4 linked regions of the Arabidopsis thaliana genome follow. The protein of the gene in region 4 purifies or fractionates together with the protein of the main gene of each other region. This does not show direct contact. Each region holds a gene or a part of one and is shown on either strand. Other genes may lie near its edges. The genes, in order: TPLATE, AT5G24710, AT5G57460 and AT2G07360.

Region 1 (9,813 bases), on a different chromosome or scaffold from region 4:
ATGATTACTTCTTCCTTCCATATCTCCAGCTTTTTGATCAGTTTTAGCCAAATCACCTTAGATTACTATCAACCAGTGAGCGATTCCCACGTTTAGGTCTTCTTCTACGTGTTATGCATTTTCTACTTAAAATCATTTGGAACAATGATCACTTCCCATTGCATCTATTCTCCATTACGGTCAGAGAGTGTCACACCTATGCTATGCAATTTAGAAATTGAGTAGATGCTACAAACTTATTCGAAAATGGACCCCTTTCTATTATTAAAAAAAAACTTCCAATCTACTCTTTGTATTATGTTTTGTTGCTGATCTTGAGTATGTCTTTGTGCAGAAAGCTGTGGCAGGTATAAAGCGTATCAATCTCGACGGTCTTCGTTGGCGTGTTTTTGATGCCAGAGGCCAGGTTTTCTTTCTTCTACCTCTCTTCCAATCTACTCTCTCTTTCTTCTACCACTTTCTTCTTCTTATGCTTGGTTAGTTACATGACTACAGTGGCAAACATTTCCAGATTTTAGATAGGATGCCTTATCTTTGTTGTGTCTTTGTATTAAATCTGAATTGAATTGCTAGGATTTCATTTGTGAATATAACTTGTCTACTCTAGGTTCTTGGTAGACTAGCTTCCCAGATATCAACCGTGCTTCAAGCCAAAGATAAGCCTACTTATTGTCCTAACCGCGACGATGGCGATATTTGTATTGTTCTCAATGCTAAGGAAATCGGCTTCACAGGAAGAAAGCTCACTGACAAATTCTACCGTTGGCATACTGGGCAAGTTGCACTCTTTCTTTTAATGCTCCTGTGAATCTTCAGCTACTACAAGTGTTTTATCATATCTTTTAGTATCTCCCATTTTCATCTACTTTATTTAATCTCTCTTTGTAGGTACATCGGACACCTGAAGGAACGGAGTCTGAAAGATCAGATGGCCAAAGATCCCACAGAGGTCATTCGTAAGGCTGTCTGGCGCATGCTTCCAAGTAACAATTTGCGTGATGTGAGTACACTATAAACTGAAACATTTTCTAATCACCTGAATCCTCAGTCTTTTAGATCCCTGACTTTCTGGCTACAGATATTACCCCACACCTTGGCTTTACTCTTACTTGTTGATATCCATCATGAGTTGTGTGGAATGAGATTCTTGGTGTCCTATGTCTAGAAAGGTTGTCTCTCCTCACAAATCGGTCTTATCGAATGAGATGATATACCCTTGTTTTGAAAATCATTTAGGTTTGGAAGGAAGATTGTTCTGAACTCTTGGTTTTACCATTTTGTTATTTGTCCTTTATCTTTGGTGGGAATAGTGGCTTGTTTGTACTGATACATTCTCGCTTCTCAGCTCCTAAATGAATTGCTCGCATAGTTTAGGATGTGTTGCTTAAAACAAGAATGTGCTGAGGTTTTGTTGCTTTGTGTGGGTATAGGACAGGGATCGGAAGCTGAGGATATTTGAAGGCGGTGAGCATCCTTTTGGGGACAAGCCACTTGAGCCATTTGTGATGCCGCCTCGTAGAGTTAGAGAGATGCGACCGCGCGCAAGGCGAGCAATGATCCGTGCGCAGAAGAAGGCAGAGCAGGCAGAAAATGAGGGAACAGAGGTAAAGAAAGGAAAGAAGAGGACCCTCTCTGAAGTACCTGCGTAGAGGAATTACTTCAGAGGAAAGCTAGTGATGTGACTGTCTTTTTATTTGTAAGCAAAGTTCATAATGCAGACGTGGATAAGCTTTTAAGGCTTTCTTGTTTCTCAGACAATAAACCTGTTTCTGGATCTCAAACACTGTATCACAAATGAAGCCAAAACCATCTTCCTTAAACATGGATCTGTTTCTGGTTATCTTTCAGTTTTCTTCGTTGCAAAAAACAGAGCAATCTCACGCCAAACACTGCATGACTACAGAATGTTACTGATGGAAAATGGGTAAATGCATCCTTGGTTCCATAAACGTGTGAAATTTGTGAATAAGACGGAAGAATTCGTAAAAAAGGGCAATAGTAACATCCTTGGTTTGTTTCTTTTCTTCACCAACAACAATACAAAACATCTAAACCTACGAAGAAACCACACACAACAAAAGAAAACAAAGATTGTTGTAGCTTCATCTGAGAAAAAAGTACTCTCGCTCTTAGTTAACTTTGGTATATTTTCTATCTTTGCACAAGATGTGCCATTCTTGGAGCACTGCTGCCTGAAGCGCCATGTGCTCTGTTTCTTCTGCTGTCAGCTTAGAAAATGTTCCTTTTTCCTTCTCTTTTTTCTTCTTCTCTTCCTTGTCCTTTCCCTCTTCTTTCTCCTTTTTCTCTTTTACTTCTTCATCATCATCTTCTTCTTCTCCTTCTTCTTCTTCTTCGTTTTCTGATTCCTCCTCTATCTTTGAAGTCTTCTTCGGCTGAGCTGCCTTCAACAAAGCTATCCTCTCCATAGAGATCTTCAGCTTCTCGGCCGCGGTTGCCTTCACTTCGTCCTCTGGCATGTACTCAACGCCCCCGTCAGTTAGATCATCACACCATCCCTGAATATCCGACTCTATTTGCTTTGTGATTGATGCTTCTGATGCTCTAACCACAAACTTGCACATCATGGTGGTAGTCTCGTCACCCAGATCCATGTTCCTGCTCACTTCACTAGCGCCAAAGATCATCATACCCACAAAACCTCCATGCCACGTTTTTGCAGCGTAACAAAGCTGTAGTGACATCAAGTTAGGGGTTTATCAGACCATCAATCCAGTTAAGGAACAAGAAGAATAACAGAACCAAGTTCACCTGAAAGCCAGCAACTGTGCGTATAATGTGGGAACAGACTCTGTGGAATGGCTTCGAGGATAATGATTTGAGTCCGCTTAAAAATGGTGAAGCCCCATACTGTTGTGCGGCGGTCGCCATGAAGCCGCTTCCTTCATACATATATGTGCCAGTGTACTCTGCAACAGCTGGCAAGCTAGGCCACAAACGAAAGAACTCGACTGGTGAGATTTTGTGCGGTAGAAGAAGCTCAGTCAGTGGGATCTTGTAAGGCTGACATCTTAAGATCACAGGCTCTCCGAGTTCTGCTTTTGAACCTCTCTTCTGCTTCATGATCTGTGGATCCTCTTCTATGTAGTCACCGTCATATTCTCCCCTAGCACCACGGAATGGATAGTAGAGGACTTGAACCCAGAAACCACATCTTTCAAATTGGGACACACCAACGGTGACACTGCATTGTACAGGATCCTACAAAAGTAAATCACAGAGTCCATGATAATACAGCTAACATATACGAAACTGATTGATTGGTAAGAACAGAAACGGTTTCCAACTGACAAGACTTAAGAAATTAGAGAACTGTAAAGAGATGGGAGTATATAAGCACTGAAGAATGACATGCAACCTGTGAGACAAGATTACGCAACTGCCGCACTGCTTGAGGAGAGCCATCCATGAAGTATAGGGCACCAGATAATCCAACCCGTATATCCACACGATTCAGTTCAAGTTCTGTCAAATTAATAATCTGAAAGGTAACATAAAGTATAAGGTGTTGAGACGCTAAAACTTTATCCACTAAAACTGTATTCAAGTAACTGCAGGATGATACAGTAGAATATATACCAACCTTCAAGTGCAAAGTGACCCTTCCATCATTTGTATCTGCTAAATGGTAAGCTTCTATATAGCAAGGATCACTGCTTCCGGTCAAAGGATATGCTGTGGGAGGAACCTTGATAGAAGTTGAGTCGACCCCTTTTGTAAGGAAGAGAGTTAATTCAGTGGGCTTTGGCCTCCAAAGCTCGAGAATGGCCTTGTGAATTAGACCTTCTAATTTCCTGTCTTGAGCAGCTGATGGTTCGTAAAACTGAACAGTAAGCTTATGGTGGCTAAACGGGTAATCTCCTCTTGTCTCACTAACTCCAGCCCACCTGGAAAATAATAGGTTGTCTGAGTTCCAATCCAGAAATGCAGTAAAACTCACATAATAAAAGGATTACAAGCCAAGGGAAAGCTCACTTTCTTTCAGGAAGATTTGAAACATATTTGATCCTCTGCAATATTAAACGGGTTTGATGTTTGCTAACTGTATCTGCAGCAGCATGGTTCCTATACTCTTCAAGCTCTTTGGTTAATAACTGGCCAGCTCTTGCATGACGCGATCCCATCCTCTGGGCGCATAATAAGACTGCCTGAACATCTTGTAGCCTATTCGATGTAGTAGCAGCGGCATCCAAGTTGAAGAGAACCTTATGTATGTTTGCTATGATAATATTCAATGGATCATCGGGGTCATCAGCTAAAAGTGGATCTAGACCTTCTAGATCAATATGTTCTGCGATTGTCCATATAAGACGCCCGAGGATTCTTGGGGTATTTACCTGCCAAATTGAGATCAAGATTTTTATAAGACATTGACCACGTTTCAGTCCACAAGCAATAGTTCTCCTCCACATTTAGTATTAAATAGTACTTAAGAAAGCCTAACTAAAATTCTTCGAGGAAAATTGCCAAGGGTTACTTCTAACTTTCAGCTGAGGCTTAATTACCTCTTGGAGATCCTTAACAAGCTCACGTTGCAAGTTCTGCAATCGTGTCTCATTTAATATTTGATCCTGGGAAGCACCATCTTTCAGCCTCTTCACTCCTCCACGGGTATCATAGATATGGCACAGCCTAACAAGCAATTTCAAATAGCAATCTACAGCGTACGTCCTGCCATCACAATCCCATTTGACACAAGGCCTACAAACTTCCACAACCTCAAGGGCTGGTTCTGTCCAGTTCAGAGCACCATAACCAGTACCATATGCTAACGCACCAATCACTCTGCTCTCCATACCCGAGTTTTTTTGTTCAGGCAAAGGTAGAGACAACTGGAAGCAGCTTTCCACAAGCATTGCCACCAGCTCTTCCCGAAATAAGCTCTTACTGGTAACACTATTGAGATCATCTTTAATCCTTGCATCTTCAAAGAGAGAAATAATATCTGTCCCAGGCAGAGGCTTCTGACCTCTTCGGGCACTTTCTCTGGCAAAAAGGTGAACACAGAGAGCTGTCCGACAGATACAGGCTAATGCGTGCATCCTGTCCGATTCTGCTCTCAAGTTTCTCACCATAAGCAGCAGTCTTCTAAACAACGAAACCTTCGTAACAAATTCCAAAAAGAATGATTCAGAAATCATAGGCCACAGCTTCAAGACAAAGGTACACAACTAACCGAGCTTAAATGAAGTAAAAAACGACATACCTGCATATGCAGATCAAGCAAGTGCAGGTTCGTAACAACGGCCCTGACTATACTCTCTCTAGCAGAGGAAAATTCTTGGCGGTCCCAGAGTGTTAAAATTGCAATAATGGACTGTGAAGCCCACTCTGGCTTGCCTCCGGCAACATCTGCCAGGTAGAGCATGTTAATTCCCACTTCAAAAATCAAAGCTGGATCCAAAGAGGAAGCCAAGAATGGCGCCAAATGGGTAACCAAATCTGAGACGCCAACCAGCTTCTCGGCGTTGGAGTCCACAACGGTGGCATTAGCTGCAGCAGCAGCAGAGGAAGCCTTGGAAAGCTGTCTAATCACTTCGACACTACCGGAAGCAACAGCTTTGACAGCAAAGACAAGAGGGAAAACAGTGGCTCTGAAGGTTTCGACAGGAAGGACTAAAGACCTAGCCATCAAAGCGCTCCTCTTTCTCCATACAATGTCAACCATGGAAGAGACCCACTTGGACCTGATGGCGAGGGAGTTCTCGCTGTCAACGAGCTTATCGCCAGCAAGACGGCTCATCCGCTTGGAGTCGAACTCCTGGAAGAGTCTGCCGACGGACTCAAAGGCAACCTTGGAGACGGCGTCGGATTTGTCGAGCATGTTCTGGCCGATCCGAGCCCACCAGTTGGAGACCTTGTCGAGGAGACCCACATTGTTCTCGCACAAAGTAACGAGATCATCACGCGCGAGGATGCAGCCAAGTGTCTCGGTGATGGAAAAACGAAGGTTGTCAGATGGAGAATCGAAGCAGGAAGCAATCTCAGAGCTGCAATCAGAGATGAGTTTAGGAAGCGAGAAGGCAGGGAGAGCCGCAAGGATGGAGACGGCAGCGGCGGTAACATCCGGGTCCGGAAAATGAAGATCCGTTTTGACACCTGAGCAAACGGTGTCCCAAAGATCCGGAGTGAGGCGGGTAGATCGGATGAGATCGAATGCCAGCTTCTTACAAACAGCTGAAGCCGGAGAAGCAACAATCTCCTCCACAGCAGACTTAGCGATCACAGAGATATCTCTTCCGGCGGCGGATTGCTGCAGCGCCTGAAGAAGCGCCGATGACTGGCGAAGCGCGTCATTTGAACGGAGGTCCGCCTGGATCTGAGCAAAAAGAATGTCCATAACCGGATCGAATTAACTGAAATTCGAGATCCAAAATCTGAGCTAACTAGCTTCGCTGTCAATCTGTGTACGTATGCGACATGGAACTGGAAGAAGAAGGATGTGTAAATCAAACCATCAATTGAAGAAGAAGGAGAAGAAATTGTTTTCGAAGGAAAAAAGCGCGTGCCGTTCCTGCGATTCGAGCTTTCACAGCGTGCCGTGTTGAGTCATCCGTAGACCCAATAAAGGCACATTAAAAAGTTCATTGGGCTTTACATTATAAGCCCAGGATATTATTTTTATGCACCGAAGTATTTGCATTCGATTTTAATTCGAGGGATCAGATCCGACGGTCCAGATTGAGTCCTGCCCAGTAGCAAAACGGCGTTAGACGCAGCATTCGTTAGGGACGGGACACTAGAGAAGGGAGGGCAGAGAGCGATTTTGTTCTCTCTCTACTTCTCGGTCGTCTTCTTCGTCTCCACTCTAGGGTTTTACTCTATCTTCTTCTTCATCATCATCTTCTACACCAATCTCTAGCGTTAATCTGTTTCTGCTGGAGAAGATTTACGCTTGTTCCTCGGTTCTCTTACTTCTGCTCCGGTTCGATCGCTTGCTAAGTGTTTCGAGTTGGTTAGTTCCGAATTTCCTTTTTTATGCATATTGAGTGTTCACTGCTCTCCTCCAGCAATACTATAGGGCTCTAAGAATTGAATTGCTTTCAGGTTTTCATAGTTAGGGTTTCTCAAAACTGACTTAAATATTTTGATTTGTGCAGGTTCGCACTTCGGTGGGCGATATCATGACTGTGAGGAACGGTGGTTTCCCAGGAGATTATAATCGTAACAGTTTTGACTCTCCCGGCGGCTGTGATGATAGCCCCAATGCTTCCAAGGATGATGAAACTTTTGGTGTCCCGAGAATAGTTTTACCCTTGTCTGACTTGTCATCATCAGAAAGGAGAAAGTGGATTCATACGCTTCGTCAGGAGCTGGAACAACTACGGTCCTTTCAGAAGAGTGTTGGGGACCTTCTTCCTATATCTAAGATTGTTACTAGTACACCTGCAAGTAATGTGTCTCGCCCCAAGAGTTTTGGAATGTCACGATGCTCTACTGGCCCTGGAAAAAGGGTGCTCCCCTTCACAGCAACCAAACCAGAGCCAGTCACCACTTCCACTATGCTTCGGATGAAGCAATGTGAGAGCCTCCTTAAACGATTGATGTCGCAGCAGCATTGTTGGCTCTTTAATACCCCTGTGGACGTCGTCAAGCTCAACATTCCTGATTATTTCACCATTATCAAACATCCTATGGATTTAGGAACTGTTAAAAGCAAGTTAACTTCCGGCACGTATTCAAGCCCTTCAGAGTTTTCTGCTGATGTCCGTCTTACTTTCCGCAATGCTATGACTTATAACCCGTCAGATAATAATGTGTATCGCTTCGCTGATACTCTCAGCAAGTTTTTTGAAGTGAGATGGAAAACTATCGAGAAGAAGTCATCCGGAACCAAATCTGAACCAAGTAACTTGGCTACTCTTGCTCACAAAGATATTGCGATACCTGAGCCTGTGGCTAAGAAGAGAAAGATGAATGCTGTGAAACGTAACAGCCTCTTAGAGCCTGCTAAGCGGGTTATGACAGATGAGGATAGAGTAAAGCTTGGCAGAGATTTGGGGTCCTTGACAGAATTCCCTGTACAGATAATAAATTTCCTGAGAGATCACAGCTCCAAGGAAGAGAGATCTGGAGATGATGAGATAGAGATTGACATCAATGATCTCAGTCATGATGCCTTGTTCCAGTTGCGGGATCTCTTTGATGAGTTTCTGCGAGAAAATCAAAAGAAAGATTCAAACGGTGAACCCTGTGTGTTAGAGGTAATCACCTTTCTATATCTCATTCTTGATCCATTTGTTAACATGACTGATAAACAGCGAAAACTTTCTTGATGTAGCTTTTACATGGGTCAGGGCCAGGAAATTCATTGACGCAACACTGTGATGGTTAGCATACACTGGTTTTGTTGTTTGAGCTAATTCGCATGTCCTACTCTATGATTAAGCTGTCATTTCCTCCTCGTTACTTGCAGGGAGTGAATTGGAGGACGAGGATGTTGACATTGGTAATTATGAGCACCCTATATCTCACATCTCAACTGTCAGAACAGAAAAAGGTATGGCGTTAGAGAACTACAGTGGTTTGTTTAATCTTGCTACATTGTATTTGTCTTTTTCTCTATGGAGCTTTTGCAGACGTTTGATGTTTGCAATTCTTATATGTACTTAACCCTCGGAACCATTTTACTTCCCTCTTGTCAGAAGTGGCCGTCCATCTAGAATACTCAATGTTACTTCTGTAGTTTTTTTGGAGTGAAACTTACTGACCTTACTGATAGCAACTCATATTACACACCTAGTATGATAGTGATAGACCTGTTACATTTTCTGCTTGTTTTACTCCCAGGTCGCTGTTTGCTATTTTCTATAGTGATCATATTATCTCTAATCAGTGATTACTCCTCTTTTGGTGCAAAAGATGTTAAGTTTTGTTGATATTAATTAATAAACCTTGGTTTTCTTATTCCCTTTCTAAAAGCAGATTCCGTCGGTGGATTGAATCAGATGGAAGATGCATCCAGAGGGAAGCTAAGTCTTATTGAGGGGGCAGATGGTCATCAAGATGGTAAGCTCAGAAGTGTAGCAGAAAAATATCTGTGCTCTAATATCTGAGGGTGGCATCTCACTCTTGACCCATTAATAATTTAGGAAATAGTGCTCCAAAAGAGAAGGAACTACCTCCAGAAAAGCGTTACAGGGCTGCTCTATTGAAAAATCGATTTGCGGATATAATCTTGAAGGCTCAAGAGATAACTCTTAATCAGGTTAGCTGTGTTTGTGGAGGTGTGAGCTGTTATATCTGGTTAGCCCTCCCTCTTTGACTTTCAAAATTATATTTGTGAGATCAGAATGAGAAACGAGACCCAGAGACACTGCAACGTGAGAAGGAAGAACTGGAATTGCAAAAGAAGAAAGGTATTCTTGATTTGCTAGTTTCGATTTTTTGATTGATGATATATACCAAGTAGTATATACGTACATAAACTTGTCCTCTTATTGTTTTGTGCACCAGAAAAAGCACGGTTACAAGCAGAAGCCAAGGAAGCTGAAGAAGCTCGTAGAAAAGCTGAGGCACAAGAGGCTAAGAGGAAACTGGAACTTGAAAGAGAAGCAGCCCGGCAGGCATTGCTTGAGGTAAATCAAAATTGCTGCCTTGTACCAGTTTGGTTTTATAAACTGCAATACATGTATATTGATCATTGCCATGACTGAATGGTACACCAGATGGAGAAGTCGGTTGAAATAAATGAGAACACAAGGTTTCTCAAGGACCTAGAACTGCTCAAAACGGTTAACACGGACCAGTTACGAAATCTAAGAGATGTTGGCTCTGAGTCTGATGGGTTGGCTG
Region 2 (7,549 bases), on a different chromosome or scaffold from region 4:
TCCAAGTATGACATTTTTTTGTACTAATTTTACAGTATTTTCAATGCAAACCAAAGCACACAAATTCTTAGGAGCATGATTAGATTAAATATTCAATGGATCTGCTCTAGAATACATGCAGATGATCTGGTATAAATGAAAAAAACAGACACATACCGGTTCAGAGCGACCTCCTACGGATCTCATGAGTATGTTTGAGGTACCATCATCCAAGAGAATACGAACTTGGACACTAGCCGATGAAGCTGCACTGGCAGCAGCAGCAGCTTGAGCTGCAGCTGCAGCGGCTTCTTTTGCCTTTCTCGATGAACCACCCTTAGGGATTATAGGCATTCTATGAGGTAACACAGATTCTAGAATCGCAAATCTGTCTCGACATGTATCCCACGCCAACAGTCTTGCACTTCCAGAGTCAACAATGGACCAGTCACTAACCTTGTAGATAGAGAAGTATAGAATATCCGGCCATACAACTGCCACATACCTACAATCAGAGAATAAAGTTAGCTGGCTAAAAAAAAAAAAACTCAACAAATTAGCTGAGTTAAGAAGAAAATTATATTCATAAAAAACAATTAGCTAAGGAACTTACTTCCCTGAACTGCTCACAGAAAGAACTGAGTATGAATCATGTGGAACTGGTGCCACGATCTGCTTTTTGGTTTGCTTTACAGTTAACTGTTCACCTGGGTCTCCCTTAGAAAGCCCTGATTCGGACAAGGCACTATTATTGCCAAGGGATGGGTTGGCTGTGTTGGATAGTTGAAAGTTCAAGAGCTTTAATTCTCTTCCAAGGATATATATAGCTGAATTCTCCCGACTTCCAGGCAGTGCTGGTAGAGGAGCTGCAGACGGGATAGCACGAGGATCAAATTCACTAACTATAATACCAACATTGGTACCAGTTGCGACGAGATGTGGTTGTAGAGGATGTGCAACCATACAATAGACCTAAAAAATGGAAATTAATAAGTACCTGATGAGGGTTACTACCAATGTATGGAAGCCATGAAAGCGAAAGAAGTACAGAAGCAATGCTATTATAATTATGCAATAAAGAAACTAGCAATCTTTGAAAATCATCAACTGGCGGTTTCAAGTAGAAAATGAACCCCGAATATTATCTGCAAATTCTGAAAAAGGAATAACTTTCAACTTTCGGGTGCAGCATGTGCTTTCCCTATCACCATCTGACATAAAGATTACGTATCTTCTCCATTGCAATTTTCTTTTAGATAAATTTAGTGTTCAAACAGCTATCAATTTAAAGTCTGCTATATACAAAACTTTTCTGCAAGAAGTAATACAAACAGTTGTATTCTATTCTTATTCTTATTCCTAGTCTACTTGAGTCAGAATACCTTTGCATTGCCAAGTGCAATATTATACAGCTACACAACTTCATCATTTGAACCATAATAGATGCATTTTACGAGATAAGAAGAGAAACTAATGTTTTGTGGGACACATAGAATGGAGCCTCAGAGAGCAATGCTCATGCTCAGGCTTGAGCATGAGCTATTGATATAGTATACAACTAGCAGGCAGAAAGAAATGATATGATACGTGGTAGATTTCGAGGATTTCATCAACAATGAGCTAATTACCCTAAGTTTTCTGTGGGTTGCAAGTACTTGAGGCGGAACCAAGGAAGAAAGTTCACATAACGGCCTTGTCAGGGCCGAATAAGTTGGATGCTCAATAGACCTGCAAAAATTCAAACAATTAGACCACTCATCTAATATACATAAATATATTCTACCATATACAATACCAAATCTTAAACAAAGATACCATATGTGTGAATCTTTAACGCAAGTCAAAATATCAAGGTTTGGCGCTCGAGGGTGACACCAAGATGCAACACTGTGGCAAGCTAGTTTCGGGACAGGTTTAATTCTACGTAGCTCCTGTAGAATAAAAGTAGATATGCATGTTAATAAATGAGATCGGGAAAATATGAAAAATCCATACATGAGATACACCATTACCTTAAATGTCATTGTATCCCATATGGCCAATGTCTTGTCAGCCCCAATTGTAATCAATTGTGGAGCACTCCCACTTACCCTTGACAGCTCAACAGCCACCACCCCACCATCATGTGCCTAATACAATCAGAACAAAAACATTAGAAGAAGCCAAGAAGGGATTAGGAAAAAAAAAAAAAAAAAGTATAACAGAGAAGTGGAAATTATCCACTCAATTAAGCAAACATGACCATGTCTATTACACCAAAAAAAAAAAAAAAGCACGAGCATGTCATAGTCCCCTAATCATTACTCAGCCTTTTATAAAAAGAATGAAAGAATATCTAAATGCAAGTATCCAACATTCAGAAACAGACACAGAAATCAATTCAGAAGGTTCACTGGAACTAAGAACAATGGTGCCTTAGCCTCAGCTGTAACCAAATCTGGCAAATCTTTCCAGGCCTAAGAATTGAACGGTCATGGTAATATCCTCTCTTGAACTTTGAATGAAAGAGTGGGCATAATTGAGTACCTTTAAGCTAAGCTTGGGTACAAGTTCCCTTGAGTCAGCGCCATGATCGGCACTCCACAGTACAAGTAAGCCATCACTGCCACCTGAAACAAGGAGTGCCTGCAATTGCATTTAGATAGAGGATGGCTAGTATCATGTATTGCACATAAATAACAGAGAGAAAATACTTGATAAGCATTCATTAAAAAACGTCAAGTTATATAAAAGGGAAGAAAGCCCAGTACTATCAGAAATTCGCTATTAACATAACCTAAACAAGCAATTGGGAAAAGAGATGCCAATGTTTAAAATTCCCGCCGCTCCTAATGCCTAGGCTATGCATGAAATTTAACCCGAGTACAGATGATCTAAGAAACTAAGGCTAGATATTTGGATTGTAAAACAGGTATCCGTATAGTAAGGCCTGCTGCGGTCTGGACTCCCACTTAGTAGAATGTGAGATTTTTACGTCGCTAAGAAGAAAGAGATATATGTAGGAAACTTCCAAGACGATATGCTCAAGACCTCGTTTTCATATAATATATACAGTCGATCTTAGTAGGTGATCTTGAGTATGTTTTTCTAAGTTACATGACACTTTCATCTATCAGATGGTATTAACTATTAACATATTAAGTAAATAACTCGAAATAAATTCAGAGCAATAAAGAGGGCATATATAGGGAATATGTAGTTACTTCGCCAGATGATGCCATGAAATTCATCAAGCAATAAATGGATCCTTTATGGCCACCTGTATATCGACGTGCAAGCTGCAAGGAAGTAAACATTCAAGGAAATTAACACAGATCAGTATCAAAATCCCTCACTCTAAACCCAGCAGAGAAACCAAAAAAAAAAAATATAATTTTGAAACAAACAAACCTTCCATGTTATCATTGATAAAACCCGAATGACACCATCAGTTGAACCAAATGCAACTAAAGGGCCATCACCACCAGATGATCTCGAAAGAAACTCCATGCTGCAAAGAAAGGAAGAATTCTAGCAACATTAAGGAGGAGTAGAAATTAAAAATGTAGAAAGGGAGTTTGGCCATTGACTGAACATTAAACATCAAGGAAGCCTGGTATCCATTACACTTAGAACACACATATCCATTACACTTATGCCTAGTCTACATTTGACTCAAATATTTCCAGCGTAGTAACTAACGGAGGTCTTTCCAGGATTCAAGTGATTTAAAGATAGGAAGCCTAAAGTAATGGAGCATCTTCCCCGGGGTCCAGGTGTCAAGCAAACCCATATCCTAAAATTAGAGAAAAAGCAATGAACTTACCAGAGAAGTGACTTGTTATCAAGCTCTTGCTTTGGCACATCACGACCACGCATTGTCACCAAATCCAAGAAAATAGCTTTATTCTCACAACAAATGACCAGAAAATGACGGCCTTTAGTCGATGGAGCAGGGGAAGTGAAAGCAGATGTCAGATGATTGACAGCTGATGGAGATTCAGCAGCTGCGGAGCGGTTGCGCCACAGTTGCCAATAACGCACATCATCGTCATAAAACTTCACCTGCTTAACGCTAGTAGGTGCAAACATTGAGCAGATAAGTCATTTTTCTCATTATCGAAAGGAGCAACTGAATTAGCAGCGAGAAAGATCTATCTACTACCTTCCTCCTCGAATGGCTTCAGTAGGCTTAGCTTTATAGTCTGAGGAAAATACGAATGTCAGTAAGAACATAAAGCATCAGAAACTCATACTCATTTCACCAGAATAGAACAATGGCTCACCGGATTCTCCTTCGGCGAGCTTCTCTAACTTGGCACCAACTAAACGGCGCTCGTCAACTCCGCCGGCTTTCAATTCATAAATTACCTAACACAATAGACATAAACGTTGACAGATCCACGATTCGAAATCAGAACCGGAACCAAAATCAAATCAGAATCTCGATACAGACCTGACGATGCTCCCAATTCCAGACGGAGACGTGATCTGAATCATCAGCCGTAACAAGCCATGGATGCGTAGGATGTACCTGTATCTTCACAATCTTACCATTGGTCTGCCGAAATGCTCTCGCCCGCAACATTTCGATCTCTCTCTCTCTCTCTCACAGTTCTTCAAGATCAATTAGACAACTCAAAAATCTGAGCACAACTGCATCCGCATAGACGATTCGACTCACGAGAAACTCTCCAGAGCTACACACTAAAAATTTCCAGAAAAAGCAAGCAGGGCTATGGTCAGATCCAGATCAATTAGATCCACCGCGGTTATCAAATGAAATGCCCGGATCCACCACCACTAACTACAATCGCCGAACAAAAACTCCGGTAGTGTCTTCAGACGCGAAACGCGTAAAGCGCGAATTTGCGAAGGCTAGTCTGATTAACCCAAAAAAAAAGGCCCAATAACAATTGTTTTAGCCCTTTCCTTTGTCGCAAAATATATTCCATTTACGGAAATTAATTGTGGATCCGTTGGATCACTGAACTTTTTTTTTTCTTGTTCATAAGTTTCTTTTTTATTCAAATTATGGGTTTACAAACATCACTAAAGCCCAGTCATCAAAGTATTTCACAAATCCATAAAGGGTACAACTAAACACCTTGTAGTAAAGAGTACAGCGCTAATAAAACAAGTCAAAGCAACATACGACACGTGGATGTGACTTTTCTCTTACGCCGATGATTGTTTCATCGTTATCTCCCAGCACCACCATCAAATCCGATAACCCACCATTTCCTCTACGACAATCTCATCACGCTTGTAAATCTGACTCTCTGCTCCACAATATCCAGAGTTTATATTTGATCTAAATTTCTCCAGAACAGCAACGATCTATGACAAAAGAGAAATAAAAAACCATGATTTCTCTTGATGATTAAATCTTACCAGATATGCCGAATTGAGATTCTAAATCAAAGGATTGAGAGAATCGATTTAGGTTGAAACAAACTCTAATAGTTGATTAAAACCCAAAAGGTAAAGATTAGAAATGAAACAAAGATTGACTTTCATCTAAATAAGGATGCAAAAAAGCTTGAGAAAAGAGGATGATAAGGAAAACCCAAAAAAAAATTGGTACTAAGATCACAATGATTATTGAAAAGCAGAAAGGTAAAACCGGTATCAAAGAACTGGAAACTAAAGCCGGATTCCACTAAAGAGAAAAGTAGAAACCAGACGGCGAGATAAGACGGCAAAGCCGGACCACGTCCGGATACAAAAGCCAGCCACCACCACTAAAGAAGCCAATTGATGCTGGAAACGAACCAACCATCGTCGTTAAAGAAGCCGAACGATGTTGGACGGAGTCTTGCCATGAATCGCTTTTTCTTTCTCTGAAAAATTCAAGTGAGAGAAGAGAGAGAAAATCGAGAAGCCTCCGATCACTAAACTTTTAAAGAGAATTCCAAATGAATTATCTCAAACAAAATGACTATAGTATTTGGTGTAATAAGGGTTTACTATGTTTACAACTAAATCTAGAATTCGATAAAAAGATTTGCAATCAAAATTAAAGTCTTATTTAATCTTCAATTTAATTTAATTTTTTCTTTACAGGTTTCATTGAAGTTTACTCAATACACTTCGATTTTTTGTTTTTCCCGTCTAAACTTGTTTTCCTCATACACTTATAGAAGATCTTAACTTAATAAAGAACAATAAAATCAACGCCGCTTGTCTTCTTCAATGCGAGTGTAACCACATCGGACTTCCACGAGCTAAATATGATCTGCATCGACCTTCTCTCATTACGCTTGTGGCTATATCTCGTGCGATGAAACCTTAAATACGATCTTATCAAAATTCGGGAGAAACCAATGAATCCTATCAAGATAAGATAAATACGTGGCCAATCTAATGGGTCACTAATGGCTTCCATAGGAGCACCATAGTCGGACCAAATCTCAATATTATAGAAGTGTAGATCACATAGACTGTGTAGTACCCATAATATCCCTCTCAACTCCGCAGCAATACGATTTGATGTTGGTAAAAACATTTCTCCCGCATGAAAAACAGCATCACCATGATGATGCCACATATATGAGCATCATGATGATGCCTGACAATCCATGTACAATACACTTCGATTTATTACGCTTTTTTTTTAAAAAAAATTTTATAGCCAAAACATGTCAGACCATATATTCTAAAACTAGTTTCATAAAGCCACTTTTGTACACAAAGAAAATTAAAGAATTACTGTATTCTTATGTACGCAAGTCTCCGGTTTAAGTGATGTTACTTCGACTTAAAACAAATCGACTGTGCCAGCTCCGGCTTTTCCCAGTTTCAATAGTCGATAACAACACACTCAACAAGTCCTCTGCTTCTTCCTCCGATGGAAACTCTAAGTTAGTCTGAAGAAGCGGCTGTGCTGAAGGATTGTTCCATCGTTTTTTGGTCGGGCTGCTCTTCTTTTGCTGGTCCTGTCTCCAGTTCCATACACCATCTGAATTGCTTCCTATGATGCGGACTACTCCACCGCTGCAATCTGTATGTATTACACTCTCCAAACCGATTTCTCTTTCGATATTCCATACCAAATCTATTGGAACTCCGAGAAATCCCTGTTTTCTGAAATCTACCAAGCTCAGGCTGCTTAGAACCAATACCAGTCTCCCTGTGATTACAACGAAAGCTCCTTCTTGTTTCAGGGCTTTGCACTTCACCAGCTTCTCGCCCTTGAACTTCAGGGAATCTCCAACCTCCATAAGTACTGCTGTCCCGACCGCTTCTTCCCATGAGTAAGGCCTGAGAGGTTGTTCTCTACTCAGAGGCCTCGGAAGACGAAGCCTATGCCTTTGGGATCTTATGTTATGAATCCTGCTTCGGTTTCTTATACTCTGTGCGGTTTTTCCAGTTACCTCAAGGATACTAGCGGTTGGTCTGGCCACAAGTCCAGTAATCCCCATGGCCACTCCTGAACCATATATAGGCACCCAGTTAACATGCATAAAATTAGAAAGCCAGAAACAAAAGGACAGCGTGTACACGAACATCAAATGTCTTGAATGTCTATAGATGACTTGAGCGGTGGTTCTCGCTTAAATACCTGAGATAACGCCTGGAAGACCATGTT
Region 3 (7,340 bases), on a different chromosome or scaffold from region 4:
GAAGATGAGGATCATGATGAAGAAGAGATTGAGCTTGAGGATAACATTTGTAAGACTAGAGAAGATTGAAATGTGTTTTTGTTGTTTTCTTTTAAAGTTTTATAATGTAGAACATAATGGTCAAAGGTTATGATATTTCTTCTTCTTTTGGTTGTTACAAGTAGATGAAACATGAAAGTATGAAACTCGGAAGTTAGAAAGTGAAAGAAACAAAAATGTGCTACAATGAGAAAAGTTTTGAAGTAAAAAGAAGAGTGATTAAAAAAGGAGGTTCAAGAGGATTTGGCCAAAAAAAAAAGGGAGTTTCAAAAGGCAAATGGTTGATGAAGATTTTTCTATGTGGGGAATGGGAAATGCAAAAGTGGATCTCATTGGGTGCCATTAGCATTTATCACTATGCATAAAATAATTTGGACCAAATATTTGTCAAACTATAACCATGTGTTAGTCAATAGCATGTTAATATTTAAATACTAGTATTTTGCCTATACACATATACCAGGTGTTTGGGTGGGATGGTGATATGTTTATTGTAGAAGGTTTGGAAGCAATTAAAACTTTTAATAATTTTAATGCATAAGTTATCCAGTCTTAAAGAGGCTAATAACCCAAACACCTAATCTCATCTACTAAAATACTGAAAATACAGTGGCTACTATTGTTTTGCATATAAACAAGACGGATAAAACTATGGATTATTATTGAAGAGTGAAGACACATGATTCTCGAGTCAAGACATTATTGAATAATGAATACTTAAAAATGTTTTCAGACATCTTGCTCCAACTGACCTTCGTGTATAGCATGTACTCGCCATTTTATGTAATATAGTGATTGTTATAATAGGTGTAAAACCAAACAAATAATTGGTCCTTTTTGTGTAGTGATAAATAGAGCTGTCATATATTAGGTATGGCCGGTTGGGGTTGAGAATTCATCCCTTAGCTTGCAATATAATACGTTCTTATATGTCAATGAACACTCAAATTATATGTTTTATTAATCAAATGTGAAGTGTTAAAGACTTAAAGTTGACGATTTGGTAGGCCAAGTTGATCAATATCTCTTTTTTCATCATCTCTTTAGAGGTTTGTGTTTAGGATCCCACAGCTTCTGCTTACTTTTTGAGTAATTTACAAGCAATTGCTATTAATCAACTAGTTTATTATATTAAATCTGGACAACTAGACATGTCACTCTACAAATAAGAGACAAATATGTAAATTATTATTGATATTTTAATTTTGTAACCCGTAGTTAGGAATGGATTGTACTTGGTGCTTAATACCCACATGACATTATCATTTTAAATAAAGAAATGTCATAGTGGATAATTGACCTAAGAATGACATGTTCTATGGATTTAATTCGGCGCGCTGGTATGATGTGAGATTAGTATTTTTCGTAATTGTTAATATACTCAGCTGATTTTTTTTAATGCATCATGTAATTGACAGGAGCAAGATCTATATGACTATATGTTAAGAATCATGTGGAATCAATCCCACTTTTTAAAATAAACATGATGTATAGTAAAGCTACACAAAATGTGTTGTATACTAGGGAGATGAGATCATACTAAAACCATAGTGTAAATCTTTAATGGGGTTAAGGCCTTATTCGAGGGAGATGATACTAGAACCATAGTGGTTATTGTTAATGTCACTAAAAAATAGGTCATTGCATGCACTATTTTACATCAAAAAAAATTGCGACAACTTGCAAACGGGCACTAGATTATGACACTATATCAACCTTAGTACTCAAGACTATATTACATGTTCTGATCAATCAAAACATCTATACTTTTTACTGTCTTAAGTTTGTTATGTATAATGTAATATGATATTTAGAGATCAACAATTTCAAAATGTTTGTGATTGTCTTTACATAATAATAGCCTTTGTACTTCAACAACCACCACAATTATTTTGATACTTTCATCACAACAATTAGGAGAATCTTCCACTTTACCATTTTGCAAAGTATATTTGATAAACTTAAATTTTGTAATCCGCATTTCAATAATATAAAAATGTAAAAGCAAATCGAGTAAAACAGATAACATAACAATGAAGAGAGGTCAAGATACACAAGTACACAAAACCTTACATGACACATACCAAAAAAAAGAATAACTCTCAACAAAGGCCAAACTCAAGAACATTAGAGAAAATTATAAACAATGTAAATCTTTTAGAGAGAAACTTTTATCAATTGCACATATAGACTCCGGTTTCGTACCTGTGATCTACCTCAAAGAAATCTGTATTTCCCTCAGCAGCTGCACGTAGACTGATACCAGACAGAGAAGTATTTCCCTGTACCGAGAATTTCACATAGCAGATGATATCTGGTTCTTCCTCGCTGTTATCTGAATCGATAGGCATCCGTGCTCTTAGTCTCCCGGGACTTCCATTCAGAGGAATCTCCGGAATTTGCCATTTCAGTTCTCGATCGGTTCTGTTCAGTATTGCTTTAGGCGAAACCTTAAGCAATGTGGGATCAACCGGGAGTTTTAGGATAAAGTCGACGTTTTTCAGAGGCTGAGGTAGATCCGGATTTGAGACGTATTGTATCATAAGTGAGAGTAAAGTCCCGCTGATTCGTTTCACCATTCGGACTCTAAGAGGCAACGGGGTTAGTTTAGGTTGCAAGCTATATTTAAGGATAGGGATTGGTTCTTCTGATGGAGCAGTTCTCACGTGAAACAAACCGTTCCCTAAGCTACTGATCCGAGAACTCTGCATAGCAAATCTCTTAACTGCAGTAGTACCCTCAACACGGAATGAGAACTCAGTTTCTTTCTCTTCACCAGAGCCTTTGGGTGGCATCGTTTTCAGATAGATCACACCCATTACTCCTACTCTAGCAAGCAAGGATTCTCTAAACTCGGTTCTAATTTCCTCAGAGATATACATTTCAGGACCTTTCATCTCAGGCTTCTTAACTAGGTTATCGATATTAACTCCATCTTTGCCTTCCACTGCTTTCGGATCACTGGTGTGCAACAGCTCAAGCCCACCGAGTCCTTCCTTCTTCTGAATCTTCTTTGGTCCCATAAACTCTGAAGGATCCAACCCACCTCCCCAAGCATCACTAAACGATTCAAAAGTTTCTCCAATCGTAGCCTGTTCATTGCTGAACTCAATCCCACCATACTGCCCTTCGAATCCTTCCACATTGATGTGCGTAGACTGTGTTGCCTCGGCTGGAGGTAATGTCGTCACTTCAAGTCCAGCCAATGCCAAAGTCAAATCCGTTGAGGACGGATCCTTAGTCTTCTTGAATCCACCCACAAGTTCTTTCTCCTTGTTAATCGTTTCACTAGCCGCAAAAGGATCCTTATTCTCCGGCTCTGGTTCTTCCTTCAATTGCTCTGATTCAGGCACCACTGGAGCCAAGCTCGCCGCGAACTCATCTCCAGCGGCAACAGTCTCCGGAGGCAATTCAAATCTTGCATTAGAAAATGCGTTTACAGAAGCTTGATGCTCTGCCGCATGCGATTCAACAGCCATCCAACTATCAGCTCCTCGGATCTTATTCTCAGTATCAAGAGCCGAATGAACCATCTTCGCAATCCCATCTCCGTGCATAGCACCAAGCATCGCCGCAAGACGGATATTACTAACACCACGCAAAACAATATCAAGCGCCATATAAACCTCAGCATACTTCCGTCCAAGCTTCTCCGGAGTAACTTCAACTCCACGACAAGCAGTAACAATAACACTAACAGCTTGATTCACAATATGAATACACTCAAATACATTGATCGAATTATCATGATCCGCGACAGTAACACCAAGGATATAGATCGAGTTCACTAATCTATAAACTACACGATACTTGCTCTCAACACCAACAATAACCTGTCCATTAGAAGCAGCGAGTGGATCATCACCTACAAACTCCGCCGCCGTGGCATCGTCAGGATCCGCAACGGAGGAAGAAGAAGAAGAAGAAGAAGAAGCTTGATTCTGTTTCTGATTCGATTGTTGCTGATGCTGCTGCTTCGAGGACGCTAATGCTTGACGCATTTGACGAAAATACGAGAGAGCGATTAAGGCTCTTGCTGGTGGAAACCATTCTCTAGTTTGGAGCAAAATGTCGGATCCATTTGCTGGTTGCAGAGCTAGGGCTAAACACGACATGATCCCGATTCGAAATTGATCTCGAAGCTTCTACTAATGGTGACTATTCAATCTCAATGGTTAGATTGAAACATCTGATGAAGAAATCGATCAGATCTGAGAACTGAGAAGAATCGTCGGAGAAGAAAAGGAGAAAGAGAAATGAGATCTTCGTTGTTTCTTTCGAAAACGACGTCGTTTGTTTCATTACTCGTATCCTACCTGCATGGACCTAATGCGATGGTTTGAAAATAAGCCCAATAGTAGACGTTTATTCTTAACTTATTGGGCCTAATGTCAAGGTAAGAAGCCCAATAATATGATAAAACGATGTCGTTTAACGCGATTAGGTCTTTTTAAATTTTGTAGCGCTTATAACTTTTGCGATTTTTTTTTAATTGGTAGCTTTTGGCGGTGAAATGCAAAATGGGAAAATTAAGCCGGAGAATCTCCTCCGACGATCGCCGACGAATCGTAAACTAACCACAGGCTGTGAAATCCTCGACGGATGTCTTCGCGGCGGAATTTCCTGCGATTCTTTAACCGAAATCGTTGCGGAGAGTGGCTGCGGAAAGACACAGCTCTGCCTTCAGCTTTCGCTCTGTACCCAACTTCCGATTTCACACGGCGGACTCAACGGTTCTTCTCTTTATCTCCATTCAGAGTTCCCATTTCCGTTTCGTCGTCTCCATCAGCTCTCGCACACGTTTCATCAATCAAACCCTAGTATTTACGCGAATTACAATGATAATCCTTGTGATCATGTGTTTGTACAAAATGTCCATTCTGTAGACCACCTGTTCGACATAATGCCTAGGATAGATGGGTTTGTTGGGAATTCGAAAACTAGGTTTCCGTTGAAGTTGATTGTGCTTGATTCTGTAGCGGCATTGTTTAGATCGGAGTTTGATAATACTCCGTCTGATCTTAAGAAGAGATCTTCTTTGTTTTTCAAGATATCTGGGAAATTGAAGCAGTTGGCTAGCAAGTTTGATTTGGCTATTGTGATTACGAATCAGGTTACGGATTTGGTTGAAACTTCTGATGGGTTAAGTGGGCTGAGGATTGGGAATTTGAGGTATTTGTATTCGTCTGGAAGACGAGTTGTTCCTTCTTTAGGCTTGGCTTGGGCTAATTGTGTGAATTCCAGATTTTTTATTTCACGAAGTGATGGTAGTATTGTTAAAGATAGAAGTGAAAAGGACGAGAATTGTTCAAGTTCTGTGTCCAGAAGTGCTAAGAGACGGCTTGACATAGTGTTTTCACCTTATTTGCCTGGGAGTTCTTGCGAGTTCATGATCACACGAGAGGGGATTTGTGCGGTTCAAGCGTAGGTGAACTCGGGTGCTATGTAGGATAGTTTTTGTTCGAAGCATCACCGGATTTTTTGGAGTATTTGTTCATTAGCCATTATTTATGTACATTGCAGAAGGATCCGGAGATGGGTTGCAGCAAAGCCAGGTTTATTTTTTCGGATTCCTCCTCTTGGTTAGATGTGATATGTGCTTGTTTTTAGTTTATAAGCATTCTATGTTCAATTATTCATAATAAAGCTTTTTAAAAGATTCCTGTTAGCTCCTAAGTCTACTGCAAGCTTCTCACTTTGTTCTCTGATTCTCTTTTCTTTGCATCATTGAATTTGCACGAAGTCGAAAATTTCCCACTTGGTTGCTATCTTCAAATCGTTTCATTTGTTGAGTAAATTGCTGATGTGATCTTTATATCTGGCCGTAATATCTTTATGAATAGGTAGTGTTGATCATCCTGGTGGATATGGTTTTTGTATTTATTTTCACTTGAACTCTGTAGCTAATTTCTCGATTCTAACCAGAAAATGACTGAAACCACAAAATATGATGATGCATGCCTTCATAAGTGCCATAAGTAATTAATCTAGTTAACATACTTCATTGTCCTATTGGTAAGCAAATGGAGTTAAAACAGATTACTTGTAGCTAAAAGATCTTTAACACTTCGATTGTTTTCTATTTTTCCGTGGTTATTCAGTGGCAGAGGAATCAACTGCAGTTCGAGAGGATCAATTCAGCCTCTGATGTATACAAGAATGAGAGATTCCGCCTAAGGCTGTTGCTAAAAACAACCATTGAATCATCTGAAGGACACGACGGAGCTCTACAAGAGGAAAAATTTTTTGGCCGTTGTTGGTCTTTGGATTAACAAAAGCTCTGTATACGAATCTTCACTTTTATTTTGTATAGAAGAAGACTAAACATATTTAGTTCCAATGTATAAGTTTCAACATCTCTTATTAGCACTCTTCACTATGAGCAAAACTTCTACTCTCTATGTGAACCGGCCCATTTACAAGATACGGCCCATGAACCTTTTGTTATACGTCATAGTGACATCACTCTCCAGCGTAAAAACTAACTTCCGACTGAAACTGGATTCGGTTCGTCGTTATCGGTATCGAATCAACAATGTCGAATCCTGCAGCCGTCACCGCCGGCAGAGGATCAATCACTCACGTCATATTCGACATGGACGGTCTTCTTCTCGGTAATCTCCTTGCATCTGATCTTCAATCTCCAGCTTTATTAGATCGTACTACTGTCACTATCGTTGTTTAGATTTGATGGTTTTTTTAGTAGTGACTGTTTAGTTTCCAGGATTGATTTCATACAATTGATGTTAAGATGCTAAAGCAATTAGCTTGAATCTGATCGGAAATCGAGCGATTGAGTTTTTGTTCTGTGTATTCAAAATCTCACAACTTCATTGGCTTATCTGCTCTTGCTGCATACATTCATGCTGATTTGGTTTCTGTTGCAGATACTGAGAAGTTTTACACTGAGGTCCAAGAGATTATACTTGCTAGGTTCAATAAAAAGTTTGATTGGTCTCTCAAGGCTAAAATGATGGGTAGAAAAGCAATAGAAGCTGCCAGGATCTTTGTTGAAGAAAGCGGGATTAGCGACTCTCTTTCAGCTGAGGACTTTCTTGTCGAGAGAGAGTCAATGTTGCAAGACCTTTTCCCTACTAGTGAGCTCATGCCAGGTAGATTCTGCTTTTTGTAACACATGACATTTGGTTCACAGGAAGATTACATGTACGGATATTTATGTTTTTGATGTGGTCATGAACCAATTCTCTTCCACATTTTCAGGGGCTAGTAGACTCATTAAGCATCTCCATGTAAAGAATATTCCAATATGTATTGCTACCGGGTAATCTCTTCACCTCATC
Region 4 (7,187 bases):
AGCATCAGAAAATGCATTTACATGAACGGATTCATCAATGTCCTGTAATCCCATAGCAAACGCTGCTGCTCTACTCTTTCCCATCTCTTGCACAACCCTTGCTGCTGCATGAAGTACTGGTCTTGAGAAACTGCGAAATGAGCTCTCTAACCTGAAAGAACAGGATCAATTTGCGAAAGTTCTTTAACAAGAAACACAACCATAACGATCATTACAATCCAAAGCAACATTCTAGTGAGGAAAGGGAATCCATAAGATCTGCAATTCTAAACACAGTCTTCCACCAAGCTAGGAGTACCTCCTCATTACAAGCTTAATAAGGGGCTGTGGACGCTTGGTTTTATTAGATTTATCCTTGGAGGACAAGGATGGTGCTTCTGGCAGCTTCAGGATCTCTCTCGTCAAGCGATACCACCCAGCAGCACGCTCATCCATCCTAAATGATGCAGTACATTTTGGTTATTCAATACCTTACAAAGAATGAACTAAGAGAAATCAAAGTCATAGAACTCATGCCTCTCAGTGTTATCGTGTTTTCCCAGAATGCACAAAATCGCCTCATAGCATACCCTTTCGCTTGGATCTAGGAGTAGCTGATAGAGAATTGAGTTGAACTGAGACCTAATATCAGGCCTCTCTGTAGGAAGATTGAAAGGAAACTAGCAACATGTAAGTTCTCAAAAGATCTCTCCCATATAGCCAGATAAGAAGAAAAAAAAACAGAGCGAGAACGGGCAGCAGAAAGAGGTTGATAGTACTTACCATCTAATGCCCGAGCTCTAGATATTGAGTGGCACAACCTAGCCAGAGAAACTCTAGCAAGAACATCATTCATATGCAGGATATCTTGCAAAGCCCCTAATTTGGTGTACAGAAGAAAGGTATATCAGCTAACCCAGATCGTGTTCCAAACACTTCTTTATAATTAGCACAAATAAACACGAAATAACCAGCAAAAAGATTAACGTCAAGAGATAAAAGGCCTGGTGAGCATACCTGTTGGAGACGCAAGCTTTTCTGCAGCAAAAAGATCAAGAGACACATATCAAGTTTTGAATGAAAAACAGTTATGTCTCTACACACAGAAATAGAATGAAAAAAACAATATAAGGGGGAATAGAACAAATTATTTACCTAATGTCATTGCTACTGTATAGGGGTCTCTTGTGGCTAACTCAGATAGAATTTCCAGTGAATGCCTCACCGCAACAGGATCAGCAAAGAAAACACTGCAACATAAAAGTGTGAATACGAGAATAACTGTCCAATATACTGCATAATTAGGAATAGACCAAAAATTCAATTGCTCTTGTGAAACCTACATCACTATACTTAAATCCAATACTCTATACTTAAAAAGATAGTAGAAAGAACCAAAAAAAAAGTCTTACCCCTGAGCTGCACGGTGCAGAAAAAGTGGATTTCCTGGATCAAGAGGGAGTCTTCTCAGTGCACTCATAGCAGCGTATTGCAAGTTACTTCGCATAATCGACTAACAAAAACGAGATAAAACGCTCAAGTTAATAACAAAGTTTAGTGTTGACCTTCTGCAATCCAGAAGCTGTATACTCAAGTGAGGAAGAATTCTATTCGTCTGCCTACATATCTAGAAGCTAAGTTATCAAAGTTGTTCCTTTGGCTTATTGATAATCTGATATACGAATAGAATTGTAATGTTTTAAAAAAATGGTTTTATTAATTCAAATAACATTTAACTCGGGCCTTAAAAATCTGATAGCTAATAGCCAGAGTCTCCAGATGTGCAAACTCATATCATTATAGAGCAACTATGATACACTGCCTAATGCATGCAGTCATCAACAAGAATTTTGAGAAATTTCTACCCTACAGCAGGCAAAGAACATGCAGAGCATTGTAAAAAAGAAAATTATAAAGTGCAGGAACATGACTAGTATATAAGCCTTAAGTCTTTTCCTGGAGGAACCTAAGAGTTTAGAAAGATACCTCTTTATCACCCCCTTTTGTCCCAAATACACCTTTCTTTCGTTTATGCGGAACATCACCAACCTGAAAGCGACAAGAAAGATAAATCAGGGCCTCTGCATGTCACTGGGAAAACCCCCGTAAATTAAACCACACTCATATGAAAAGCAATAAGAATAAAATAGTATAATTGTATATAAATAAGAAAAGGTGGGACTACGGTTAAATCACGCAGAGTGCAGACAATGAACTACGCCAGGGTTTATTAAAAATAAACAAAGCATCTTGTTAAAAATCATAGAGCATTGGCAGTCAGACAAACCTTTTCAAGAATGCCAAATACAATCTCATACAATTTTGACAAAAGCTCAGAATTGCCTGATGGTGAATATGTCAGAGCTTTCAAAGCTTGCAGTCGTCGAGCATGAACTGAAGAAAAACATATGATAAGGTTAGAAATTCATCTCCAGTCACATTACAGATGGAAAGTTGGAAATCTATCTTAGATGTTGGTTCTCACTTCCATAACCCCCAAATTATTTAAATCCATACCAAAACTGACACCACATCTAAACATAACTACCTTTTGACGTCACTCCTCTCAGCATTTGGGTCTATCAAAAGAAAATTATAAAGGTACTGGGATATTTCTTAAAAAACATTAACAACTAATACCATTATAAAGATAAATAAGATTAAGACAGTCCAAGGCAGAAATGTATAAAATAAAACACTAAAGCCTGAAAAATGCGAGTGAAACTCACATTCAAATTCAGAATTTGTAGCTTCGTTTGTAAGTTGATTCACTATCCGAGGAACAACATCAGCTCTTGTGACTCCTCCACCAGCATCAATATCTGCTAGAGCATCCCAGTTAGGAGTGGGGATACCACCCCCTGGAGTCATGCCCGTATCGGACAAAATTCTAGCTAGGTAATAATAAACATATCGTAGCACATTCCTGTCTTCACATTGCTGATTAAGCTGTATCAATCACAAGAGAAAAAGAATGCTAAAAACCTGATGCCTCTCTTTGACGGATATTGTTTTTGAAAATGCGAATTTGTGAAGATCCATGATAATTTAATGGGTAGAGAAAAAAAAAACTCTAATAGAACAAATCATTTTAGATGCTCCATCATAAAGTTATAAAAAACGATACAAGAAACTGTACTTGATCTGACACTATCTGGTCGTCAAATGAGTAACCAGTGACACATACCATAAGAAGAGATGGGGCCAGAGAAGGATCAACTGAGTTGTACACAGCAAGCTTAGGGAACACGTGATTCACTAGTTGTTTCTGAGAACTTTTCTGCTCACTCGCGAAAAACAGAAGAAACAGTCAGATACTATTTTCAGCAGAAGAAGAGAGGTATAAAGGCAGAGCATAAGAACACAAACTTAAACCTGATCCAAAGTGGCAGCTAATTCATGAATGCTCCTTGCAAGTTGCGAATAGGAAACCGGCTGGGAAGTCATTTGCAACATAAAGTCGTGTTAACTACATCGAAGAACAAGACATAGGTATATTGACTCACTAAGACTCTATTTACAACAGAGACTCTATATACACTGATACCTCCTATTAACAATTCAAATCTACAACCACAATCTAGTTTTCTTAGCTCCAATGATCCAGGGTTTAGTTCAAACACAGATAAATGTGCCAAACAAAATTCAATTAGTAGATCGAACCTTCTTTTTCTGTCTCTGCCTTTGTGGCATGATATTGGCCTTAACAGGATTCAGTGCAGCTTTAGCAACAGATATAGTGTCGTTTTGGATCTGCATCAAAGTGGCTCTCTTCGATTTCTTCTCTCCTAGAGTCGTCTTCGTCGACATTGGATGGTGCAGATGGGAAGAAGACGATGCGGAAGCAGAAGTCGGCTGAGACGCCGTGGAAGATGCGGACGAAGAAGTAGATTGTGCAGGAACCGGGGTTGGATCCGCCGAGATCAGATCCATTAGCGTGGTACCAGACGATTCCTGTAAAGAGGAAAATGGAAGAAAGGTAAACTTGGATTCGATTCTTGGCCGGTGAAATACGGTGAGGATCCGACGATGCTTACCGCCATAGCTAGTGGCAGATCGGAGGAGGATTCTCGGAGAGGATTTTAGTGACGGGCGATTCAACAAGACAAACGCAACTTTACAATTTTACAAAATTATCAAAATTCTACACTTTTGTTAAATTATCACGAAGCACGTGAGATGCACGTGAATCTTTTATTTGTCATCCAAAGTTTTGTTTTGGTATTTTTTGGAAAAATGTCAAAAATAAAGGTAAATTTTCAAATTTGGGACGAAAAATTAAGATGTAAACCTCAACGATTAAAAAGAATTCATCATCTTTGCATTTTTTGATCAAGTTTTCTCTTGGAAAAAACTTTTGAAATTGGTTAGGGAAAGATTGATCATGTTCTGAAAATTGTGCTGAAATTAAGGTTTCTTGTTCTAGAGATATTCTTCTACTTAATTGAGTTCGTGTTGTGTAGGATGCGATGAGTTGACGACGGCAAGATACTCGCCTATTTGGTGACTGTGACAAAGGGATCGAAACCTAACTTTTATTAATTTGGGCATTTTGTTATAACCTATATAAATATGTATGTTTCTGAGAAACAAACAAATAAATGATTCAGCTTAGTCGGTAAAGGAATGGAAAAAATGTCAAAAAAATCCCCAACTTTCAAATTTGGGACGATTTAATCTTGAACTTCACAGAAGACAAATAAATCGTAAAGTTTGTGTTGACATTCTAAATAAATGACAAAGTTTTTGTTGACTTCCCATTTGAGTCATGTCGTTACATAGGTTAACAGAATTTTTTTACGACGTTCATGTTCCGTTTATCTGCTCTGTTAGGACAAAACAATGTCGTTTATTGTAGAGACAAACAACATCGTTTCTTCTGTTGAAACAAATTTAAACCCTAAATCCCCAAATCGATTTCATTATCTCAAATCCTATAGAGGCCGAATCGATTCGAATCCCATCTGGTGAGGAGACGAACAATGTTCCTCAGCCCAAATCAAATCGAAAGAAGAGAAAACGGAAGAAGGAAGTTGAAGTAGACGACGTCGTTTTGTTAACCTACTTAACGACATGACTGAAATGGCAAGTCAACAATAACTTTGTTATTAATTTCGAAAATCAACAAAAACTTTACGATTTATTTGTCTTTCGTGAAGTTCAAGATTAAATCGTCCCAAATTTGAAAGTTGGTGATTTTTTCGACGTTTTTCCCATAAAGGAATGTTGTTTTATCTTAAAGGTTGCGAGTTCAATTCCTGAACTTGTAATAAAAAATTAGATTCAAAACAACGTTGTTTCATAAGTTAACGGAATTTATAACAGAAGACTTAACTCTGTTAATTTTTCCGTCAATTGACTTAACATCGTGCCCAAATTGGCAAAATCGATAAAAGTTATCTAATTAATTCTAAAGTCAACAATAACTTTGGTATTTAATTGATATTTCGAAAATTCATGCTTTTTTGTCCCAAATTTGAAAGTTCGCGATTTTTTTGACATTTTTCCCCTTTTTATCCTTCCTATTATGATTGAATGGATTGTAGGACCGCGAAATCCTGATTTGCAATAAATCAAAAATCTTTATAAAACGATTAGGAAAGACGTTTTTCGAAAACGAGTGAAGACGAGATTTGATCTCTTTCCATAATTCAAACTAGCTCCCGCAGTGTGACGGTTTTATGAGCAGTGGATCGCAGAATACAATCACTATAAAACCGGTATCGCAGCACTCGATAGCGGAATCTGCGAACATGAAATAAACGATATACTCTTGACTTACTTTGAGAAGAAAGGGAGAAAGGGAGAGAGTTTCGTTTTAGCTTTTAGCAAAAAAAACGAGTGAGTACAATGAGAGGAAGATGTGTTCCTTTTATAGGAGAGAGGTGAGGAAATGCAATCCGCAAATCAAAGATCGTGGGATTCGGAGTGATGCGCAAGTCAAAGACGTGGGCATGATTAGCGGAGCCATTATCACAACCGTTTAAGGAATTAAGATTCGAATAAGGAATATTCGGATATGCTTTTAATATTCCGAATATACCTTAGTTATGGAAACGATATGGGCTTTCGTTTTGGGCCAAAAACTATGTTGCAAATATTACAAATAATGCAACAAAGCCTCATAAGTATTTTCCCCAAAAAGAACATTGTTTGTGGGCCAAAGGCCCCATTTCCCAAGAGCCCAAGGCCCAAGCCCGGCTCGGCACGGCACGACGGCGGCGGAGCGTGTGTGTGTGTTGTTTTGCATAAAGGACTTGCATCTCCTACACCATAGTGTCCCTTCCCAATAGCTAGTGAACCATGTTAAATGGGTAGCACCATATATGCTAGAGGAGAGATCTTAAAACTTCTAATATGGGACAATTGTCAATATTTGTTATTATAAGCTTTCAAGCTCACCACTTTGGACCTCAATTACTCATTCATAATAACTTCAATTTTTATATGTAACTACACTATCTTATAGTGCTCATTACAAGGAATTCAAAGACTCCATAATCCGGTCATTCCGGTGATGGCCATCACCGGAAAAATCACCGAAGAGTTAGCCGGAGCCACTTGTGTAAAATTGAGTTCCAACAATCCCCCACATGAATAAAATTGACTCTAAACATTTGAGACTTTTGACTGACTCGATAACCTAAACTGACTTAGACTTTACAGACTCAACTTTCAAGAGTATATGCAAAAAATAGATGTGTATGAGATAGTAGTATTTTTCAGCCTTAAACTATTCACTGTTAATATTTGTCGAATTTACTTGGCCAGGAGGTGAACATGATGTCTTTAACCACCCAGATTTTTATGTAAACCTAGACAACAGGTAAAACCCAACTACTTTTTCTCGTAAAAACAAGTTCTCTAGATTGTGTTCATTTTGGCTTTGAACAATCCTGGATTTCATGAGTGAACTTAGAGAATATAGCCTCTCATTCTCCTAGAAACGGCCACATTCCACACTCACTAGGTGATTTGTCACTAGCATTTGTTTTAAGAAGTCTCTTGTAAAACTCCACTTATATATCAAAGCTTTGGACTCAATCATTAAAAGCATTGCTTATCCTTTATATGTACAAGAAGCACTGTTTATCATCCTGGAAACTAGGCTGCGACTAGTAATCTTATAATTCTCCAAATATATTTCGTTTGATTTAGTTTTCCCTTTTGAACCTAGTTCTTGGGATCTCCAGTCATATAGGTGGGGT

Evidence for each region.
Region 1: the proteins of AT2G07360 (region 4) and TPLATE fractionate together in Arabidopsis thaliana (co-fractionation; one large-scale study listed by BioGRID). This does not show direct contact.
Region 2: the proteins of AT2G07360 (region 4) and AT5G24710 fractionate together in Arabidopsis thaliana (co-fractionation; one large-scale study listed by BioGRID). This does not show direct contact.
Region 3: the proteins of AT2G07360 (region 4) and AT5G57460 fractionate together in Arabidopsis thaliana (co-fractionation; one large-scale study listed by BioGRID). This does not show direct contact.

Annotation. Positions count from the first base shown.
Region 1 is NC_003074.8:275,716-285,528, reverse strand, and holds TPLATE (ARM repeat superfamily protein), read right to left. Parts: upstream 6,648-9,813; 5' UTR 6,359-6,647; coding exon 5,225-6,358; intron 5,121-5,224; coding exon 4,524-5,120; intron 4,356-4,523; coding exon 3,994-4,355; intron 3,906-3,993; coding exon 3,602-3,905; intron 3,500-3,601; coding exon 3,377-3,499; intron 3,220-3,376; coding exon 2,770-3,219; intron 2,691-2,769; coding exon 2,130-2,690; 3' UTR 1,878-2,129; downstream 1-1,877. Other genes in the region: AT3G01790 (Ribosomal protein L13 family protein), read left to right, coding at 335-406, 608-774, 889-1,000, 1,431-1,649; BET10 (bromodomain and extraterminal domain protein 10), read left to right, coding at 7,143-8,222, 8,300-8,348, 8,435-8,518, 8,944-9,027, 9,111-9,226, 9,311-9,377, 9,475-9,596, 9,687-9,813. UniProt on the Arabidopsis thaliana protein: Functions in vesicle-trafficking events required for site-specific cell wall modifications during pollen germination and for anchoring of the cell plate to the mother wall at the correct cortical position.
Region 2 is NC_003076.8:8,463,375-8,470,923, forward strand, and holds the start of AT5G24710 (Transducin/WD40 repeat-like superfamily protein), read right to left. Parts: upstream 4,800-7,549; 5' UTR 4,547-4,799; coding exon 4,415-4,546; intron 4,330-4,414; coding exon 4,245-4,329; intron 4,164-4,244; coding exon 4,124-4,163; intron 4,034-4,123; coding exon 3,785-4,033; intron 3,470-3,784; coding exon 3,370-3,469; intron 3,258-3,369; coding exon 3,183-3,257; intron 2,605-3,182; coding exon 2,506-2,604; intron 2,109-2,505; coding exon 1,992-2,108; intron 1,911-1,991; coding exon 1,795-1,910; intron 1,708-1,794; coding exon 1,608-1,707; intron 952-1,607; coding exon 593-951; intron 485-592; coding exon 157-484; intron 1-156. Other genes in the region: AT5G24740 (vacuolar protein sorting-associated protein, putative (DUF1162)), read right to left, coding at 6,699-7,390, 7,523-7,549.
Region 3 is NC_003076.8:23,272,135-23,279,474, reverse strand, and holds AT5G57460 (muniscin carboxy-terminal mu-like domain protein), read right to left. Parts: upstream 4,366-7,340; 5' UTR 4,155-4,365; coding exon 2,214-4,154; 3' UTR 1,987-2,213; downstream 1-1,986. Other genes in the region: AT5G57480 (P-loop containing nucleoside triphosphate hydrolases superfamily protein), read left to right, coding at 1-69; XRCC3 (homolog of X-ray repair cross complementing 3 (XRCC3)), read left to right, coding at 4,553-5,467; GS1 (Haloacid dehalogenase-like hydrolase (HAD) superfamily protein), read left to right, coding at 6,575-6,653, 6,927-7,151, 7,261-7,321.
Region 4 is NC_003071.7:3,053,078-3,060,264, forward strand, and holds the start of AT2G07360 (SH3 domain-containing protein), read right to left. Parts: upstream 4,120-7,187; 5' UTR 4,023-4,119; coding exon 4,017-4,022; intron 3,934-4,016; coding exon 3,643-3,933; intron 3,415-3,642; coding exon 3,355-3,414; intron 3,260-3,354; coding exon 3,167-3,259; intron 2,929-3,166; coding exon 2,709-2,928; intron 2,374-2,708; coding exon 2,267-2,373; intron 2,029-2,266; coding exon 1,966-2,028; intron 1,493-1,965; coding exon 1,392-1,492; intron 1,230-1,391; coding exon 1,135-1,229; intron 1,018-1,134; coding exon 997-1,017; intron 859-996; coding exon 763-858; intron 638-762; coding exon 511-637; intron 437-510; coding exon 299-436; intron 152-298; coding exon 1-151.